Linked DNA regions of Pelodiscus sinensis. The protein of the gene in region 2 binds, or shares a complex with, the protein of the main gene of each other region. Links are inferred from orthologs where the notes say so. Each region holds a gene or a part of one and is shown on either strand. Other genes may lie near its edges.

The links. Proteins that work in one complex are often made in the same cells at the same time.
Region 1: ARPC3 (region 2) and ARPC5 share a complex: the UniProt entries of both Homo sapiens proteins name them as parts of the arp2/3 complex. The link is inferred for Pelodiscus sinensis from reciprocal best matches to the Homo sapiens genes ARPC3 and ARPC5.

Annotation. Positions count from the first base shown.
Region 1 is NC_134719.1:57,209,222-57,220,143, reverse strand, and holds the start of ARPC5 (actin-related protein 2/3 complex subunit 5), read right to left. Parts: upstream 4,630-10,922; 5' UTR 4,533-4,629; coding exon 4,390-4,532; intron 2,267-4,389; coding exon 2,194-2,266; intron 883-2,193; coding exon 706-882; intron 109-705; coding exon 46-108; 3' UTR 1-45. UniProt on the Homo sapiens protein: Component of the Arp2/3 complex, a multiprotein complex that mediates actin polymerization upon stimulation by nucleation-promoting factor (NPF).
Region 2 is NC_134725.1:32,219,177-32,229,969, reverse strand, and holds the start of ARPC3 (actin-related protein 2/3 complex subunit 3), read right to left. Parts: upstream 3,979-10,793; 5' UTR 3,849-3,978; coding exon 3,843-3,848; intron 2,418-3,842; coding exon 2,318-2,417; intron 261-2,317; coding exon 184-260; intron 1-183. Other genes in the region: GPN3 (GPN-loop GTPase 3), read right to left, coding at 8,998-9,060. UniProt on the Homo sapiens protein: Component of the Arp2/3 complex, a multiprotein complex that mediates actin polymerization upon stimulation by nucleation-promoting factor (NPF).

The DNA of each region.
Region 1 (10,922 bases), on a different chromosome or scaffold from region 2:
CCAGCATTTTGCACACCCACAGCAAGCAGTCACTGGCTGTTGGACTTAAACCGTTTTTCTGGCAGTCAAGACACGGACAATGGACCCTACACCTCCAGCAGCGAGAGCCTGGAGGGAGAGAGGAGGAGGAAAGAAAAAAAAGAGAAGTAATAGTTAATACAAGCCATGATAACCACAGATGGAAACAGTTACTACCTGGACTTCAGTGAGTTTCATCTGAACACTGCAGTGTGCTCTATAGATACTAAAGATCAGCTTTCTTCAATCAGGAAGCATTACTATATTCATTTTATATAGGGAAATGGACCGAAGCATTAGATAATTTGCATAAGTCAGTCACTGGGGGTATTAGGAGTCTTGGGTTCTATTCCTAGCTACGTTCCCTGTTTTAACCTTTAGATTAGTGTGCTCTTGTACGGAGACAGTATAGCTTTTAGGAAATGTACAATGGATCATTTTCATTCGTATCTAATACACAATAAAACTTCATCTCTAGAGTTTATGTGAATCAATATATAATAGGAAGTGTGCATTAATTTCACATGGTTCTCTAGGGTACCATGTCCTTTCCACCCCAACTGTTGTAATATGAATAATAGACTTAAGGGAAAGAAGGATGATTCCTATTGGACTCAAGACAGAATCCTGGATGCCAGAGTCTCTGTCCATGCAATTATCCAGCCAAAAGCAACAGACTTCACACACCTTTTCATGCCACTGCAATAACACAGCACTGCTGTTGTCAGAGGGGCTCTCAAACCCCTTGTAGATGTATTTCATTAGCAGATCAACTCCATTCTTGTCCAGAGACTGTACTGCCTTTTCAATATCATTGGCTTTGAATGAGATGAGGACTTTTAGGACGATGCTTTCTGCACGATCCTGTAAACAAGGGGAAAAGTCATAACTTGGAATAACATGACAGACAGCCAAATGTTAATGATCTCCCAGGAGGTAAAGCTTTATTCTTAATTCAAAAAGCCAAGGCAGCTCGAACACATACCAAGTTGTCAAGCATACTGTTCAACAGACATTCACCTCTGCCCTACGACAGTATGACCTCCATGGACTTTGCTATAGCCATTTAATTCTAAATAAATTTCAATTTACAGTTAACATATGCAATTAATTTGAAATCAAGTTTTAGATAAATTAAAGGGCAGCACATCGCCACTGAGGTGAAAGAAGCTAGTCTCAAACAAGAGACTCATTCTCGTCACTGCATTTGTAACAAGTTTGTTCTAGGTTTCTATCTTTGCTTATTAAGACTAGCTTTTGTTTGCAGGACTCCACCCATAGCATAAGGGTGGTACTGAACTTTCTCTCTTGACTGGACAGTTCAAAAGTCGTCGGAAATTACAGGTCTGATTGGCTTCCCTCTCACCAACTAAGCAACCTCTTATTTTTACATTGTCTAGATGGACAGCACTTCTGTGGGCCAAAAGAGATCTTAAAGGAGAAGTATTTCTACTGAGCACGGAGTTCTGTTCAGCTGAGATCTATTTTTACTCTGCATTATCTTTCTCTTCCCTCACTGAGTACTGTATTATAACTAAGGAAGTTAAAATGTGTTTATTTAGGTAAATGTATAACCTCTGAACACTTCAGCAGTTACATGCAGGGGGAGGTGGCTGCCATCTGGACCCCTCTTCCCTCCTCCCTGCCAGAGAGGAAGCAGCACCAGGCCTGGGGTGAGGGGAAGCATGGAGGGGAAGTTGGCTCCCTGGGAGCTGGTACGCATGGGAAGCCAGCTTAAAAATTCCTTGTTAGCTAGAACTATGGACTGGACACAGCCAGTCAGTGCTTACTAGTCTGAGGTGATTTTTTTGGTAAGTTCACGGGCCATGTATCGCTTTAAGTCCAAGATACGTTACAAAAAAACCTTGGATTTATAGCAAAACAACTTGAAGCAGGGAATTCCCCCTCCCCCTCCAGCTGACTTTCATTTGTGCATTTTTTTTTTTGCACAACTGAAGAGCGGGGAAATGAGAGGACTAATCATGCCTCTGTTCCTACAAGCTTAAATGACTAGTGCAGAATGGATGTGTATGAGGGATGCCCTGTACTTGGGCTGAGTATACAGGAAGAGCTTAATCACCTCAGAGAGGAACAGTGAGCAATCTGTAGAAGTCTTAGGGAATTAGGAAAGAATTTACAGCATGGCACATGAATGTGAGTTATTAACTACTTCACCTTTACTGCTTGGTTCTTGGTATTGATTGGAGGATTCTTTAGGGCTGCCTGCAATGCAGCCATCATGTTTCCTGTAAACATGAGTTAAGGAAAGATGGGGAAACAAGGACATAGAAAGCAGCAGAGATAGTCACAATAGAGTGGGATTCACAAGTAACCTGTTTCTTACTGGGAATATCAAGCATGGATTTGTGGAGAGAATATTTTCCATACTGTTGCACCTACTGAAGTGTTCAAAGTAGCAAGTATTACCCAGTCATTTAAAGCAATGGGATCAATACTAAGGTGGTACAGTTGTCAGCATCAGAGTGCACCAAATCACACAACAAAGATCCAAATATAAATAATTCTAAGTTGACCCCTTTTATCTTCAAACTCCACACAGATTGGCAAAATATCATGCAACAAGTTATAACATGGCTGTTTGACACACACACACACACGAAAAGAAGATGTGATTGCTGAAACAAGCTGGTGAATGAGAACATACTTTGTACATACATCGGAAAAATATCATCAGTTAGGGCCTCAGATTGACCTTTCCTTTCCTGTTGATGTTCAATCTATCAGTCAATTCATCACACTGTAGTTGGTTATGATTCAGAAGAGTTTTCTATTAAGATTCTTATACTGCATCATCTAGAAACCTCCCAGTAGTGCATTAAGTGACACAACTAATGGGTATCACCAGGGCTCGCCGAACTGCGGCGAGCCCTGCTTGCCAGCTGCGCTGTCTGGTGATCTGCACATGGGCCTTCCAGGTTACAGTCTACTCACCATGGGCGAGTAGATTGTATTATTTGTCGAGCCCTGGGTATCAGAGGGGAGTACTCAACTTTGGAAGCCCCAGGGGCCACAATGATACTTACAGCACATGCTAAGGGCTGCAACTTAAGCGTGATTGCGTATACATGCAAATTTATATGCAAATAGCTTCTTTCACACTGACGGGCATGAATACAAAGATTAAGGCAAGACTACATAACACGCAGGTCCCATTTAAGTCAGTTCAGGTGAATATTGCATTTTATTAATATCAGCAGATTTTCACCCATACGACAGCACTTTTAATGAACAATGAGAGTCCAGGAATTTAACTACTAACACATATCAACAGAAGACCATTATATGGAGTTGCTGTTGTGGAGCATGTTCCTAACGGAAGCCCTGTTCAAAGGACCCGCAACGCTGAGCGCAAACAAACGGGCTGCATGCAGCCTACGGGGCGTGTGCCTTGAGTAGCCCTGTTATAGAACAATGAGATCCCAAGACTGCCTCCATTATTGTCATGAACTAGAACAAAACATGCTCTAGAAACACAGCTAATTCAGGCTTCCGGCAGATTGTACAGAAAAGGATACTAAGCAGCTCCCATTTGAATTTTCTTAAAGGGTCTTATGGTTTTGAGCAAACATTTCCCTTTTGTTTTTTTTCCCCTCCAGGTTTTTCCCCTCACCTCAAATTTGAAACCATAAAACCCACTTACAAGCTAACCTTATCAAGCGCAGCCTCACCCAGAAAGGGCACATCTGAAGCTAAAGGCACTAATATGTGGAAGTAAAAAGCAACTAGATTATCACAGACTAGGTGCAATTATTCCCATAAAAGGAAAACTTCACAGAGAACACACTTCCTCCAACTCTGCAGTGCAAGAGGGGTTTGGGGGCAGGGCTCTTTCGCTGGCCCTCCCTCCTGCTCTCGTGAGGTCAGACAGGACCACATCCTCCAGCGCATGCATGCCCATGAAAACTGGGAACCAAAGAGCTGGCGGATATGAACTTACATACAGGTCTAACGGTCTCTCTGGGCAGCAGGGCGCTCACCCCAGGGCCTAGACACAGGCAGGCCGGGGAATTGAAGGCTGTTTGTAACAAGTTGCCTAGACGGGCCTGGGGGTGAGGACCGAGCACCCCTGGGCTGTCAGCGCCCCCCAGCCCTGCACGTCACTCTCTGGGGCCGGGCGGGCCGGCCCCGCTCGCAGCCTGCTCCCGGGGGCGCAGCTAAGAGGCAGGGCTGCGGGACGCGGCGGGGGCACGGAGGAGGCCGCCCCTGTCCACGCCGCAGAGCCCCGGCAGGCTCAGGGCCGGGGGCGCAGCGTCCCGCCTGTGCCCTCGGGTCCCCCGGGCTCGCGACAGGGCTGGGCGCCCCTCCCCCGTCCAGGCCGGGACTCTTTCCCCGGCGCCCGCGGAAGGATATTGCCGCAGGCAGGAGTCCACCTCGCCCTCGTCGGGCCCGGCCTGGCCGTCGCCTCCCTCCTCCTCGTCCACGAACTTGTTCTCGTCGTACTCGTCCACGTCCACCCGGCGGAAGCGCGCAGACGACACCGTGTTCTTCGCCATCGCCCCGGAACCTGCCGGCGCCTCCCGCCCGCTCCCCTCCGCAGGGCGGTGCCCGCCCCCTGCTGCCCGCAGCAAGCAGCAGCGCGCATGCGCAGCGCACAGCGCTCCTTCCGCCTCTCACTTCCGATCATGCGCACTAGGAAAAAGTCGCTCGAGCGACTTTCTCTTCCTACGGTTTAGCCGCTCGCGCTTGACACTCGTGGGTGAGCGCATGCGCCTCGCAATGCCGCCTCTCTCTTTTTTTTTTTTTTTTTTTTAAACGCACGCGCACTTTAAAACCGCACCCCTTCTTCTCTGCGCATGCGATCTGCACGGACTTCCTTTTTCCTCTGCGGCAGCCGGCGGGCCCTTGAGCGCAGACGCAGAACAGGCAAGTGGGCGGAGGAAGGCAGGGTCGGGGAGGAGCAGGTGAGTTGTTGCGATTGGTCGGCAGGGGGTGGTCACGTGCTCTCCTGGGCCGAAGGGGGCCCGTTTCCATGGGAGCGGCCTCCCGTCGCTAACGGGCGCTCGCAGTAGGGTGGGTCGTGGCGGGCGGGGTGTGAAGCGCCGCTACCGGCCCCGCCGCGCTCGGCTGAGTCGCTGCCCCACACGTGGGTGTGAGGCGCGGGGACGCGCCGGGAGCCCCCTGCCCCCCTCCGTGCTCAGGGGCGAGCGCGCCGCCCCCCAGGTCTGTCTCCCAGCGCCGGTCAGTGGGGCTCCCGGCCCGAGCGCTTCCCCTGCGGACTCCCCGCCTAGCCCCCGGGAGCAGGCCTCGCGCTCGCAGACCCGTTTTCTAGATGGGGAAACTGAGGCACAGAGGCTCAACCGTTGAGCGCTGCCCCATGTCTCTGGTTGCCGCGGTTTCTCCAGGTGGGCAGGTTTCAGTGTCACTCGTCTCCTTTCGGTGCGGGCACGCTCAGCCTCGCTGGCAAGCTCACCCACCGTGCCCCAGACCAGGCTCATAAATAAATTAGGTGCCCACAAGAAGGGGCCCCTTTGGAAATGTGGGTGGTAGTGAGTGGGTCGTGGTGAATCAGTGGTAGAACTGAGACTAAAACCCAAGCATCTGGACTCCCGGTTCCTGCTTTTTTCTGCAAATAGTAATCCCCGTCTTTATATTGCTATAAACATCTTTAAATGATCTTTGAGGCCTATGAAGATCAGATTGAATTGAAGTATAAATTATATTAGTATTGTATGTAAAATAGACATTAGTAAATGTGAGTAAAAAATCTGAGTTTACAAAAAGTATTTTGCAGAATCTAATACGAATCATGATACTTGCATAATACTCAAAACATACATTGTTTTAGCAGATTAAACGTTGTCCCGTGGTACTGGGAATCCAAACGCAAAAGCATTAGGTTAATGCTATACAAGGAGAAAGTGAAATGGACTTTTACAGTGCAAGCTGAGGAAGTACAGAGAGTGAAGTAATATAGAAATAGTGAAAAGTACATTTTAAAAAAAACCCTCGATATTAATAACATAAGAACGGTGAGACTGAGTCAGACCCAAGGTCCATCTGTCTCAGTATTCTGTCTTCTGACTGTGGCCAATGCCAAGTGTCCCAGAGGGCATGAACAGAACACGTAATCATCAAGTGATTTCTCCCCTGTCACTCATTCCCAGCTTCTGATAAACAGGCTCAGTGCACTATTTCTGTCCACCCTGGCTAATAGCCAAAACTAGACTTATCCCCCATGAATTTATCTAGTTCTTTTTTAAACCCTGTTAAACTCCTGGTCTTCACAACATCTAGCAAGGAGTACCACAGGTTGACTGCATTATGTGAAGAAACACTTCCTTTTGTTTGTTTTAAATCTGTCAGTTTAATTCAGTGACCTTTCTTGCATTATGGGAGCAAGTGCATAATTTTTCCTTATCTACTTTCTCCACACTGGTCATGATTTTATAAAACTTTATCATATCCCAATTTAGTCTTCTCTTTTCTAAGCTTAGTCTTCCTTTTCCAGTCTTTTTAATCTCTCCTCATATGGCAGCCATTGGCAACCAAAATGATAAGGGGCTTACCTTTTCTGAACTTTTTCCAATGCCAATATATAAAAAAATCTTTCAAAATATTTTATCACATGTTCCCTTAACTGTATTTTGTCATGTTTTAAAAATACAATTAAGTGATGTCAGTGGGAGTTGAAGTAGGCCCCGGAGCACTTAACGTTGTTAAGATATAGAAGCAAGGAGTTCTACGGATGTAAGCAAGTAGTTGACTAGTTGAGTAACAGATAAGCCTAGGCTTATTGGTTAATTTAGTTGACTACTTGCTTCTTCCCCCTTGCTGCCTTTTTGAGGGTCTGTCTACACTTTCACCCTCTTTTGAGAGAGGGATGCAAATGCAGCTGAGCGAAATTGCAAATGAAGCGTGGATTTGAATTTCCCATGCTTCATTTGCATTATCGCAGTCTGCCGCTATTTTGAATTACCCTATTTTGAAATAACAAACGCTGTGTAGACGTGATTATTTCGGGAGAAAACCCTTCTTCTGAAATAACCCTTATTCCTCATACAGCGAGGTTTACCGGTTATTTTGTTCTGGCCGTGCAGGCAACCAAGCTCATTCTCATCTCCCACTAAGTCTGGGACCTACTCCTGCTGCAGCTTTGCCATTTTAGGGTATGTCTAAACTACATCCTTTTTATCGAAAAAGGGATGCAGTTTAGACATAGCCTCAATGTACTAAGAGCCAAGCGGATAAGCAGCCCGGCTCTTCCTGCATCTAAAATGCAGAGCTGCAGTGGGGGTAGGTTCCAGACCTGGCTTAAACCGGGACTGAGCTGGGCTGCCTGCCCACCTGGCTCTTAGTACATTTAAACTGCAGAGCCACAGAGGGGGTAGGTCCCAGATCTGGTGCAAGCTGGAACTGGGCCGAGCTGCCTTTCTTTATTAGCTAATCAAGTAGTTGATAAAAATTCTGTCCACTACTTGATTAGCCATTAACCGCATCTTACCATCCTTAGGGAGTTCTGATACTGAGACCCTAACCCTTCCCAGACTACGGAACATGCTTGACTTCATTCAAGTATATTGTACAACTGAAGTGAAAGTACAGTAAAACTCCGGTGGTCCGGCATCCAGTGGTCCGGTATGCCTGATGGTCCGGCACCAACTGCAACCCGGAAGTGCTCTGGCAGTTGCTTCAAGTTGTTAGAGTAATTGATTAACTGCGGCAGGATCCACAGCCGACACGCAGTTAATGTAACTTTCCTCTCTACTGCCGGGAGGAGGGGGGGGGGTAGGGGTCGGTGGGGGAGGAGGAGGGGGCGAGGGTGTGCCAAAGCAGCCGCATTCAGGACGTTCTGGTCAGTTACAGTCACTCCGGCTGGATCCACAGCCAACACGCTGTTAATGTAACTTTCCTCTCTACTGCTGGGAGGGGGGAGGATGGGGGGGGGGCAGGGGTCCCTCTCCCACCGACCCCTACCTTCCCCTGCCCCCCCCTCCTCCCGGCAGTAGAGAGGAAAGTTACATTAACTGCGTGTCGGCTGTGGATCCAGCCGGAGTGACTGTAACTGACCAGAACGTCCTGAATGCGGCTGCCTGCCTGTCACCGCCTCTCCTCTCCCACCACTCGCAGGCTCTGCCTCCCTGCAGCAGGAGGGAGGGTTTGGCACACCCCCGCCCCCTCCCCCGCTTCCCCTCTGACGAGACCCGCCCCTGCCAGAGTACCTCCTGATAGTCCGGCATTTCTGATAATCCGGCACCACCTGGGTCCCAAGGGTGCCGGATTATCGGAAGTCTACTGTACTCAGCAACTTGCAGTATCAAGCATCAGAGGGGATAGTGTGCATTTCTTGGATACAGAATTTGTGTTGCTATGTTGCATGGAAAAGTGAGAAGCTAAGTGGAGTTACCAACTTTTCTTTAGTTGCAGTATTTTATAACATTAAATATTAATAACAAATAATTGTATAGTGCTTTCAGTATTGTAATAATTTAAGCTTCATACTGTATATAATTTCAGCACTACCTTTTCAAACTTTATATAAAAGTTTCATATAATTCTGTTATATTTTTAAATATAACTTAAAAATCATACTATGTGAACTTCTGGGAGGTGAGAGGTAGCAGCCTTGGAGGGTGAAGGCTTTTTTATTCACAGGATCGGTACTGAGAGCATAGTATTTCCCAGGTTATGCCCACTCTTAGCTGAAGGAATCATTTCTGCAGATCCAGGTAGAGTTTGGGCCATATTGTCCATTTCATCTTTGCCATATGCTGATGCTTCTAATAAAGATATTAATTATGCTGGTGTCTTGTATAATGTGGATATCTCTCTGGTGAAAATCGGATTGAGACCCGTCAATTCCATTTTTTGTACATCACTAAAAGTCATTAGTGGGTCCTGAATTTTCATCATTACTGGCCTAGTTTGGATTTAAATGAGTATTCAAAAGGTAAAAGTTTCCAGATCCACAACATCAGTTTTCTGACCCATCTAGACCCCCTGCTTGTATATTAACTTTCGTAAGAGATGCCTTTACTTCTTTTCCCCCCTTTGATATCTGTAGTCTTACTACTTAAAAGTCGTTCAGTGATTTCTACCATCTGAATCGGTCTTCCATGGGAAAAGGTTTGTGAATGACTGGTATCATTAGATAACCCCTTAGACATTTTTAAATGCCTTACAATATTGTTAGGTTTGAGATCTGAATATTGCCCTCCAAAGGGCAGAAACTTGCTTGCAAAAGGTACCAAATGGCTGTGAGTCAGTCATAAGTGGTGGCAATCTGCCATCCATCATTGCTGAAGGTGGGTGAGCAAAATAATATTTGCTGCAAATTCTACCGATCTTTTTGATTTTCATATATGTTGCCTGGGGAGATGCTTTCATGAAATAAGATTTCATTCCTGTTATGTTGTTAATTGTATGTGAATTTTGATGATCAGCTAACGCTCTTGCAGGTAAAACTGGATAGTAAAGGGTTGCTTCTGGCATACCACTCACAAAATTGCAAAGGAGGGAATGTCAGATCCTACCACATAATGGGTTCAGAGTCACATAAGGCCATAAGCTGGCAAGGCTTCGTAAAGCTTCACAGTTCCATATGGACACAGGGAAATCATCCTCAGTGTAATAAAGCTGAGAGAAATAAATACAGAAGATAATGTCTCGGTACTTTGTCAAGAAGTTGTAGATCTTGCTTATGCAGCAGTGCTCAGCCTCATTACAAGGAGAATAGTTTGAATAAAGAATTATATACCCAATGCCGTCATAATCGTATGTAACTACATGCAGATAACCACACATCTCAAACAACATAGACTCTGGATGGATGTTACACTTAAGGCAGTTGGTTGCATGGCCCTTTTGGACTAGTGTCCCAGTAGGGTTGCCAGATGGTTGAAACAAAAATTCTGAACACTCTTCTCCCCCCCCCCCCCCCAAAAAAAAAAACCACCAGGAAAAAATTCTGTTGAAGGGGGGGAAAAAGGGAGGGGGAGAGACCAAAGTAGTTGAGCAAAAAATAAAATAAAATAAAACGGCATTAAAACAGCATGTCCCCTTTAAGAGTGAGTGCAGGGATAGGAACAGGGGAGGAGTTGAGCACTAAGACCCAGTGGAAGCATTGCTTCCCCTTGGTCGGCAGTCATTTTGTGCAGGCAGCCTTGTGGAACCAGGTAAGCATGGGGACTGGGGTCGGGGGGGGGGGGGGGGGCTGGGTGTGTTGGGAGCCGGGGAGAGGGGGTGTCGGGGGGGGGGGGAAGGCCAGGTGCTGAGTGTTTGTAGGGTTGCCAGGTGCCCAGCATTTTTGCATCCTGGCCAGGGAAAAAATCAGAAAATACTGGACTGTTCAGGTGAATACTGGACACCTGGTAACCCTATGTCCCAGAGAAGCTCCTCAGTTCATAGAATATAAGATGTTTGTTTTGAGGACTCAGTAGCCCATATGGGAATCCAAAGGCCATATGAAATTCCACATAAGGGACTCTTTCTTCTTCACCTGTCCGTATATGATAGGGGCATTTAGCACAGCTCTGTGTCTGCCAGTAGTAGGACTTTACTGCTGTTCCTTGATTTGTCAGATATTCCTGGAAAAAAGTTTGCCTTTCTGGGTTCATATTTCTGTAATTAACAATCCTGAAAGAAGAAAAAAGAAACTCATAATTTATCCCTCCCATTTCCTTTACATGTACACTGCTAATATAATGCATATTCTCCTCTGAATATACTGCTGCTCAAGTAGAGACTAGAAAGCTTTGTGGATGGCAGTCTCAAATTAAGAGAGGTAAAGTTGGAAGCATAAGATCCAAGATTGTCCTTGATTTTGTGGGCCTGCCTTCTTTGTTTAAAAAAAAACCCAAAACATAACAGAAAATGTCTCTACCTGCTACTACCCCCGTCCCATAAAAGTGCAAAGTATGTAATAAAAGCATTGCATACTGTTCAGA
Region 2 (10,793 bases):
TATATATATATATATATATAGAGAGAGAGAGAGAGAGAGAGAGAGAGAGAGAGAGAGAGAGAGAGAAATAAAAATTCTTGGAAGCTTGAAGCTTATTGCAGTGAAGTAATTCTACAATTCAACAGGGTACAAGATTCTAATAACTGTGCACAGGTTTTAATATCTTAAATCTTCATTTCTTACCTTAATTTCATAATTCTTGAAGAAGACATTTGCTTTGAAGTAGTAGATGGCTTCATCTATAATATCGGTGTCCTTTGCTAGCAAGAAAGGTAGAAAATGGGAAAATTAGGCAGAACTTAAAGATAACATCACTAGAATTTAAATGGAAACAGAGGAGTGACGTTTGCTAAGACTGACAGTAAATAGTAGCATGATCTTCCATTTCACTCACTTGCAAAAACAATAACTCTTCCCAAAAACAAAGCCACAGAGGTTTTGTACTAATTCCCAGCAAAGATTTAATAGGAAAATAAGTGTTATAGCAGTATCCCATATGACCACAGCTTCGTTACTTACACATGGCAGCACGTACTACAAGACACTTACTGTAAGATGAGGTATCAATTAATTCAAGCTTTATGCTTGCCAAAGTAAATTTTACTATCAAGCAGCTTTGATTTTTAATATAATAATTGTTCACTCCATTATGGAGTGGAGCCATTGAATAGAGATGTAATCCTGCAGAGTAGTCATGAGGCATTGTGAAAGACTTATCAGGAGAATAAGTACTGAAGTAGTATCTAACTACTATAAAGGGTTATATTGAATCTTACCACTATTTTAAAACCTATTGAAACCCGCAATTCAAAGACCACAGTGAATCTTAATAGTTGCATGATGCCCCAGGAACTAGCCTGACTATACAACAAGGCACCTTAAAGACTAACAGATTTATTTGGGCATAAGCTTTTATGGGTTGACTCCAATGCTTCTGATGAAGCGGGTTTTACCCATGAAAGCTTAATGCCCAAATAAAACAGTTAGTCTTTAACATGTCACAGGAATTCTCGTTGTTTTTGCAGATACAGATTTATCACAGTTACCCTTTTGAACCTGACAATAGTGAATTTAGGCTGAATTAAAAACAAAAAACACACACACACACAAATCAAAAGATTACGGAATTTAAACTAGAACAAGGTCTTCTGGAGGCATCAAAGAGAAAACAAACCAAATGTGTTCATCACTGAAGACACACTGGAAAAATAGCACATTATTTATTGTGGTAGCACTCGGAAGCCCCAGTCAAGATCAGGACAAATGACTGATCACACATTGTTCATTCTGCTTGCATGTTATAGCCCTTCCCACTGTCCTTCATCTGTCCTGTCTGTTTAGACTGCCAGCTCTTCGGGACTGAATTTGGGATTTGTGTCTAGCACTATGGAGCCCTAATTTTGACTGGTCCCTAGTCACTACTGTAATAAACATGGATTAATAATAATGGCTCCATTCCACTAGATCCATGGTGTCCAACAAGACATGATTCAGAGTTTACATGCTAAGGCTGCAATCCCACCATTGGGTCTGCACAAGGAGACCTTTGCACTTCATGGAAAGCCAATTAAAATCAATGGGGCTCCATGTGAAACCATGTGGATTCAATTACAAGACTAGTGTCTTGGATTAAAAGTGACATACGAAGACTCAAGATGATAAAATGACTAACAAAAGCAAGGGTTACATACAGATTATTATTCTAAGGTGGATAGAACAACTCCCAAAGGGAGAAGGAGGAGAAACCAAGATAGAGTGAAAAGAAACAAAACAATTCAGAAGCAACAACACTACAGATAATTTTGTACAAGAGCTATAGAAAGGGGGTGACTATCACAAGACAGGACTGAGTAGAGTTTGGAGTCAGCTGTTGGTTCAAGGCACTGGCATAAATTTTAAACAGCAGTTGAGAAGGACACATTATACAAATTAGATCAGAGGATTCTTCTTCAGGAAAAAGCATTCAGAGGCTTGTATTGGGAAGGGTAAATGTTCCGGATAGATGGCACAGCAGAAGGCAAAAGAAACCCCCAATCCAACAGCATTAATAGCCATCTGAAAGTCAACTTCCTCTATTACCAGGAAGTACCCATTTCTAATCTGTCCCTTTTCTCCTCAGTTTGAAAACCATACACACACACACAAAATCAAAAGCCTCAAGTAGATACAGTTTATATAAAGTGTCCTATAACCATTTCCAGATCAGTGATATGAAATATTCATGAAAGAGAAGCAATTAGGACTGGATTTAAATGGACTGCAAAATAAATAAATGCAAATACAGATATAGTACTTATAAAGAGTGTTGTGAACCTACTTTCCCTTGGAGCTGGTCCTTTGAACTGACTTCTAATGGGTAACAAAGCCATGTTCCCAATTAACTTGGTATCGGAGTCCATTAAAGTGGAGTGATAAGCCTATAAACAAAAGAGGAAGTCTGACTGTGAGCAATAAAAAGAAAATAAGTAGTTTTCTCCCTTGAAAGAATAAAATTACACAAATGTCCCCCTCTAAATGATGGATGCACGGTTTGTCCAGTTAACAATGATCCAGCAACCACACCTTGTGGAAGTTCAGTGGTATTTGCTTACCTAGCTAATTAGGCCTTAGTAACATTTGGGGAGGTGGGGGGAGGACGACTCCTACTACGAAACTGCCATAGTCTAACTGGAGGCAATAATGGTGAATGCTATAACATAGAAGAGGTAGAAGTGTGTGCTTCCATCACCAGTTGTCTAACTCAGAGCAGATCTAAATAACTTGATGGCAAATATGTTCAGAACCTTTATCATATCTACTTTTCCGGTGCTTCAACAATGGCAATTAAAAAAAAAAGGTCAGTGTAGATACAGCTTAAGAATCACGTTCTGCTTTGGTGCTTAAATCTTTTCTTGACAATTGCAATATGAGCCAATGTTGTAGAAAGGAGGTTTATTTCAAAATATACATGCACTTAGAATATAAGATAAGTTACTTTAAAACACCAATGCTGATGGGACTTTTCTGTTTCTTTGTTTTGGGTTTTTTAAATATTTTCATATAAAAGTAATTTTCACCTATAATGCTCCTAGTTTATCCAATAAGGGAATATTCTTAATTTTGTAGGGGTTTAGTCAAACTGGAAAGGCCCAGCTGTTCCCTAAGTTAGGTGGTGGGCTCAGCAGGCCTTGAGCAAGGGGCAGTGATCATATAATTCCACTCTATTTCTTTATGATGCTAAGTAAGCAAGGACAACCGTGTTTTGCAACCTTACCAATGCTGTGTAAAAAAAAAAAAAAAAAAATCACACAAGATAAACTGAGAAGTTACAACGAAAAGGCCCCACCCTTTCATCTGCCCAGAGCCCCAATTAAATCAACAAAGAGCTGCCCATCTAGTCTAATTGTAAAATCAACAACCAGCTAACTTCGCGTCGACCCGCGCATATGAAGCAAAATCCTTTGTGGGGGACAATATCATGAATAGTGCCGTGCGGTTTGCAGAGGCGCTGACTATTGCCTTAAAAGGAAGTTCCCCCGTTTTGTTGGTAGAGGTGACATTTCCCACTGCAGCAGCTAGTTTCGCTCAGCTTCTTCCTATTTCTGAACAGAGAAAGAAACCCCAGAGCCGTTGTGATGTTTTCTACCCGATCCTTGAAGCCCCCCTGATGGGCTGCGGATTGCAAAACGAGCAGCAGCCAAGGGGCCCAAATGCTCAGCCCCGGGCCTAGCATCCATCCCCCGTAGCATTTCCTGCCCTTCCCTGGCTAGCAGCAGCCACAGTGCTCGCAGGGCAGCGGGGTGCAACCCAAGCACGCGCAAGGAGCCGGGGCCCTGTAGACCCGCAGGGTCTCTTTTCCTTACCGGCATTTTTTGTCGGTGGGGACGGTCGTTTCCCAGGAGGCAGAGAGCGCAGGAAGCCGCCTGAGTCAGCAATGCAGCAGCTTGCAGAGAGCCAGCCCTTCCTGTCCCACCCCAGGCGGCTGCAAGCAGGAAGTCCTGTGCGCGCAGGGCAGGAGCTGGCCAGCAGGGGGCGGCAGAGCGCTAGGAAGGCAGCGGCCGCGGAGCCTCTGCGGGTAGAGCGCTCGCAAGGGTCCCGGCCTCAGCTCCTGGGGGAGGATGTGGCGCGGTTCTTGCTTTCTAAATGCAGTGGGTCCAAGTCCTCCCTGATGTAACAAATGACAAGGCTGCAGATTAGGGATGTTAAATACCAGTTCATTGAATAGCCCAGTAACCTCATGAATTCTTATGGGTTACTTGACTATCCTATAGCCCCTGCCACGCTGCATGCTGCCTGGGTATCGGACACAGCAGCATGGGGTGCCTGGTGGGCGCCGGTTTGTGCGGGAAGCCAGTTTAAAACCCAGCTCCCCTTGAGGGCCTGTGCTGTTGACCTGTGCGCTGCCACCTCTGATAAAGAGGCAGTAGCATGGGGTGGGCAGAAGCCCCCATCTGGGGGTGGTCTGAGCTCCCAGATCATGTGCAAGCCAGAACTGAGCTGGGCTGCCAACCAGCCTGCTAAAATACTTACTGGCAAGTAGGGAGGAGGATGGAATGTGTTTAGTCTATAGCATTAACCTATAAGCTTTTGCTTATAGGTCAATGGGTTAATCAACTACACTTTTACAACCCTACTGCAGATCCCTGATTTCTGTTTGCGCTGCTCAAGAGGGATTTGTTATTGCCAGAGCAGGGGCCTACAAGTCTGGAAATGAACTGAGCCCACAACATAGAGAGTCAAAGCTGGCAACTGCACCAGTGCAAAGCACAGCACTCTGCCTCTCGCTGTGCTTTGCACTGTGCATCTAAGTTGGCTGCTGGGTGCTGATTGCTGAATTCAAAGTATAGGCAAGGTCTGTAGGCGCCAGGCCTGCATTCACTCCACACAGAAACAAGAAGTTCCCCTCAAAATCATTAGATAGGCAAAAAAAAAATTTTTTTTCAACTATCATGATTTTTTAGTCAATCTGGGTTTTGAGCCCAGAAGGTTCAGCTTTTCTCCACAGTTCTGGTGGACAGAAACTTAAATTTAAAAATAATGGAAGTTGGGATTCTTGCATAATCAATTGACTCCAGAAGCTGGGATTCTAAGAGAAACACCAAGTATCATGAAACCCATGATAAAAACCTGAGAGCTGGCTCCACTGCAGACACAAAAGCCCACTTGTGAGAATCTTAGTGCTCGATCAAGGCCTATAGCCTTGCCCAAATGCTTCATTTTTTCCTAATAGAATCCTACAGGGGAAAGATGCATCCATGGCACTTCCTACTTTACTGAGTAAAGGAATAAATGTGTTTTCTGTAGGATGTACTCACTTCAAACCAATGCAGGAACGGCACATTTTCAGGGTATTGTTCAAGACCAGTTTTTATAGAAAACATTTCAATTTTCTAGCAACCTTTTGTTTCCCTATCTTTATTTGTTCCCATTTGGATCATTCTGTGGGATTCTTATCCTGCTACCAATTACTATCTCCCTCCCCCCCTCCTTTCAAGTGCCTTTCGCCCCCTCCCTGCAATAATATCACCCCTTCAGAATATTTGAAAGGAATGCATTCTCCCTGAGACACACAGAATTTATTCCTTAAATACACACCACCATTACCTGTATTTGATATCAACTTAGATGGATTCCTTGCTTGAGAGCAGAGGGGAGTTCAACAACCAGAAAAATGTATTGTTTTATTTTATCATTCCAAGAAGACCCCCCCCCCCCCCACACACACAATTTAATTTGCCTTTTCAAAGATATAAAATACAGTCTTTGGCCAAAATGTTTTGTTGCTCCAAGTTTAACATTGTACAGGTAAGGCATTTGTTCAAAAAATAAAATAAATCTACTTCATGCCTCATCAAAAGTCTCTGTGGGTTTTCTGTGAACAATCATTTTTAAGATTAAAATTTATGAGAACTTTGTCAGGTGTTTACCTGTGATCAGCAGAAAAAGCTTAACCATATTATGAACATAAATATGATGTTGAATTAGATGATCTAATTATCTCCTAAGGAAATAGACAGAAAGCTCATAATTTGAACCATTTAGAACTCGAGAAGTAGATATTAAGACAGTCACAAGACATGATCTAAATGCAATTCTACATTAAATCATTAAACAATTATTTCTGTACCAATGACCATTTATTAAGCATTATTTGAATAATTATGATGTACAGTGTCAATAAATGCATCACTACAAAGAATAAAATTTAATAATACTCTCCTATTAAAAGCTAACATATTCCATAAGCTTATCAGTTAGATCCAAAAATAGACTTGGCATGTGTAACTTGTAATTGACATTTGGGGCCAAATCCTCCAAAAATACGACCACGTATCTTTATTCATGAGAAATCAGACGGACTGCTCCCTTATTTATGAAGTTACTCAAGGTTTTAGATGCATATAGGGTTTTATATATATACAAAAATACCCACAGTTTTTATGATATAAGTTTAATACAAATACCAATGAAATATGAATTCTCTCTCTCAAAAAAAATTAGACAGGATACATAGTGGCCTTATTTGATGCCAAATACTTGCTTGGACAATATTTCCTCTGGAGTTAGTTAAATTAGTAGATAGTGTAGTCAACCTTGTATAACTATTGGCAATTCTAATCTAATTCAGAAATGTTTTTCTTTCTTAGGAAGGCATCACTGTGTTTCACAATTTTCATCCACAGAAAAGTTATTTCAAGTAGCACAAGAGGATTTTATTTATTTTTGTCTTGTTCATGGAATCTTAGCTGGAGTAGGCTGCCTGAAAGCACATATCCTTATACTGAATGAAATCCTGCAACTCTTATGCCATGAGTACTCCCACCAAAGTCCACAAGAGTTTTGCTTCAAAGTACTGATTTGATTCTTAGCACATTAAAATAATAAAAGGAGCAACATATAATGAGAGCTCTTTGGTAATGTGTCACTGATTGTCAGTATATAGAAATGTGAGGGAGAGCACATGTACTTTAAAGAAAACCAAAACTTATTCAACTTTTCCTCCCTCAACTGAGTGTTTAAAATGCTCTCTTGGAAACATGAAAACCTTGGGTGAAACTATCAATAGCGCAACACCCTGTGTTAGTATTACATTCAGTCTTTATCAAATGCCTTTTACAAATGTCAGTCAATTTTCACTAGCTTGTCTTATTTTAGCTTGTATTGTATTTTAGCTTGTCTTATTTTATTTATTGCCTTATTTATATTCAAATGGGTCAAATATTTGAGTAAGGCATTTTACCACTACTGTTCTGAGTGATGAAATGCATGTTTATTTAAACCACACAGTGAAGTGACATGAAATATATATCAACATGAGTTTAGCTGCAATATTTACAAACTGTAGAGTCACAAATCAGTTTCACAAGTCATTTCAAACAACTGTCAAACCTTTATGCCACACCATATCTCTGGTCATTCTTTATATGCCACATGTTGTCCAGTGTGTAACAGAAAAGGAAAATAAATTACCCTCAAATCATGTTGTTGTATTTTCATGGTCCAGTATTTCATCATGAATCTCACACAGGTAGAAATGACATTTACCACTGTAAAGTTTCCTAGTTCCAACAGTAATAGGTTAAAAATCCAGTATTTCCAAGCTCTGACTTCTCTGCTATTAAGGGTTGTACTTCTTGCAAAGCAGTGTAATGATGGAGGAAAAGTTAAACCTCACACTCTGTTTTGTTAATTTTGAAGTGACAGCTCTTTGGAATCCTAGAAATAGTTCCTGGTGAAATAGATTAGTGGACAGAGTACAGATAAGGGAAGGGTGCACTTTATCACCTAGATATCCTTACCATTCTGTGTAGGGTGTATATAACTCTGGAGCAGTCATGTGACCTTCACATCAGGACACTTTTGATCACATCTAAGAGTGCCCCTTCAAAACATACCATGAAGAGTTCTAGTCCGAAGAGGATGCTAAAATGAGGACAGAATTCCTGAAGCAAACCAGATTTTCCAACTTTGAAATCCTAAGAAGGTTGAAAGGATAAACAAGGGAATTGCTGGCTCTCTCACACACAATTTATTAAACATTGTGATGGTCAAATAATGCAATATAAACATCTGAAAAAGTATTCTCTCATATTCAACTATTGTACAGAGTATTACAGCAATAGCAGCAATTACCTTCAAAGAACAGCTTTTCACATCTCTCAGAAATAGTTGTGAAAATCCAAAGTATTAAGTCATCACTTAAAAGTCAGATTTCCCTTTCAGACAACTTGCCATTAGCTAAGGATTTCAAAACATCTCTTGAAGGATACACAGACACTGCCAGATTGCATAGGTCTATAATGTATGTTGTTTAAAATTAAATTAAATTAAATATTTGATGATCAGATTAACAAAATTCTATTGGACCAAATTCATACCTGGTGTAACAAGGTTTAACTTCATTGATACCAAGAGAGCTACATCAATTTAAAACAGGTATGAAGTTGGCGATTGATATATTAATCTCAACATTTACAGGAGGGTTACAAAAAAAAACCCAAAACACATTATTGGAGGCATTTAAATGTCTGCAGTGGTGGGAAGGAAAAGCTACCACCACTAAATAAGCACACAATTAATCACAAAGTAAAAATGATTATGCCACTTTTCGTTATCTGAGTAAAATACAAAATATGAACTCTAGGAGAAAATTATAAGTTATCTAGATTTTTAAACATTTTCTCCTACTAATAAGTTATTAGAACAAGGAAGAAAAAAAATATTTTTATTTTGACAGTCCCCCTCTACAACCACCATATTTTTCAAACAATCTAGCATTTAAAAGAGAAATGCAATTATCTTCATGGAATATAGCTTACTGTGACTGAGGCTAAGTATTTTATATACAAGAATGACAATTATTTCTGAAAGTAATAATATGGAAATGCATGACTCACTTTCTCTAGTGATTTATTCAAATTATCTTACAGTTTTGATATTTTAAAAAAATACACACAAATATTTAGAGGATCCCTTAACAAAGCATATTTTACAACCAGGCTTTGGTATATTCACTCTTTACTCATCCACTTGGTCTTGAAAATATTCATCTAAAGTAGCAGATTTATCTTCTTCATTTTCCTGCCACAAAAAAAACCCAAAAGAAAAGTAAATATTAGTTCAATTTACCTCTATGGTTACATCAAGTCATCTATTCTATGGCATTTTTATTGCAATAGAAATAACAACATTCCATAAAACAGGTGACAAGCAATATCAAGAAGCAATCTGGTTCCTATAGTGCAGGTGTTCCCAAACTTTTTGACACAGGGACCAGTAAATCTGTTCATGAGCTTTTGGGGGACCGGTAACATTCAATTTCATATTTGCATATTCATTAAGCAAATGATCAATATGCAAATAAGTTGTTTCTGGTCCTCCCAACGCCCCCAGTGCCAGCTTTAGAAAAAGCTTTTGATACGGTCACCCACAATATTCTTGCCAGCAAGTTAAGGGAATTTGGGTTGGATAAATGGACTGTAAGATGGATAGAAAGCTGGCTAAACCAGGGTTTCCCAAACCAGATGACGGATTTTTTGGACCAGGGGAAGTCATTTCAGGGCTCCTGATTCCCTCCCTCCCCACTAGGCTTCTTTGCACCTCCCTCCCCTGCAACCAAACTGAGCTGCCCACCTCCACTGGTTCCCTGCAGCTCCCCCAAAACCATTCCCCACAATCCAAGGGAGTGCAGCACCAGTTCCCTGCAGCCCCTCACAGCCCAGTTGAGCTGCTTTTCTGTTCCCTATGCCTTCCCCCATCCACCTCAGCCCAGTTGATCCCCATACTGGTTCCCTGCATGCTTCCCTCACAGCACAGTTGAGCCCTGTTTCACTGCAACTCCCCTCAAAGCCCCACAAAACTGCTGAGCCCAGCTCTGATTTCCTGCCACTCCCTCCCTTTGAGTCTAGCCCCGGGTTCCCGGCACCTCCCTACTCCTGCAGCCCAGCGCCACATATCTCCTCCCTGCCCCGCCCACAGCCCAGCCTGGCACCCCCCTCACATCAGATGAGTAGCAAGGGTGTTATGCAAAAGCAAAATTTGCACCCCCACCCTTGCCACGATGGGGCAGGGCCCTGAACCTTTAAACCCTACCTTTAAAGTCGCTGCTTGGCCCTGCCTCGGAGGCTTGATTGCACAGGGAGTACATGGCCCAACAACGCTCATGTAATGTAGAAAGTTGCTACCTTATAGGAATGTGCTACTGGTAGCATTTTATCATCTGTACAATTGTAAGGTAGTGCTCCTATAGGAAACTGCTACCAGAAGTAGCACAATCCCACAGGGAGCATTTCCATACAGACCAGGTTTGCCACAACTCATGATGCTGTGTGCTCTGCTCCCACCCCAGCCCAGCGCCCCCCTAGTGTGGTGCCCGGGGGCAACTGCCCCCCCCCACTTCCTCCTCGCTATGCCTCTGTGCTGGGAGCCCGGAACATCCGGTTGCATCCTCTGCCCAGCCCGGTCCAGGGCTTGGGGGACCCGGTGCCGCATGGGCACTCCGGAAGCCCTGAGCACCCAGCAGCCACGCAGACGCCCAGTATTATTTTCCCACGGCTTGGTAGTGAGCCATGGTTTGAGAAACACTGCTATAGCGTTTTTAGACACACCCTAATCCTTAATGTAATAGTTCCAAAACTGAATCCACGTATTTTGTATATTTAAAGGGTGCTGAACAACTGAATTTCAAAATGGAATAAGAAGATGGATATTTATTTCTTCAGGATTCATGAATATATTATATCTGAATAATAATAAAACTGAGTTTAAGCCATCTGTCTCATTTGCATATATATTTTAGGTATTATTTTACTGTT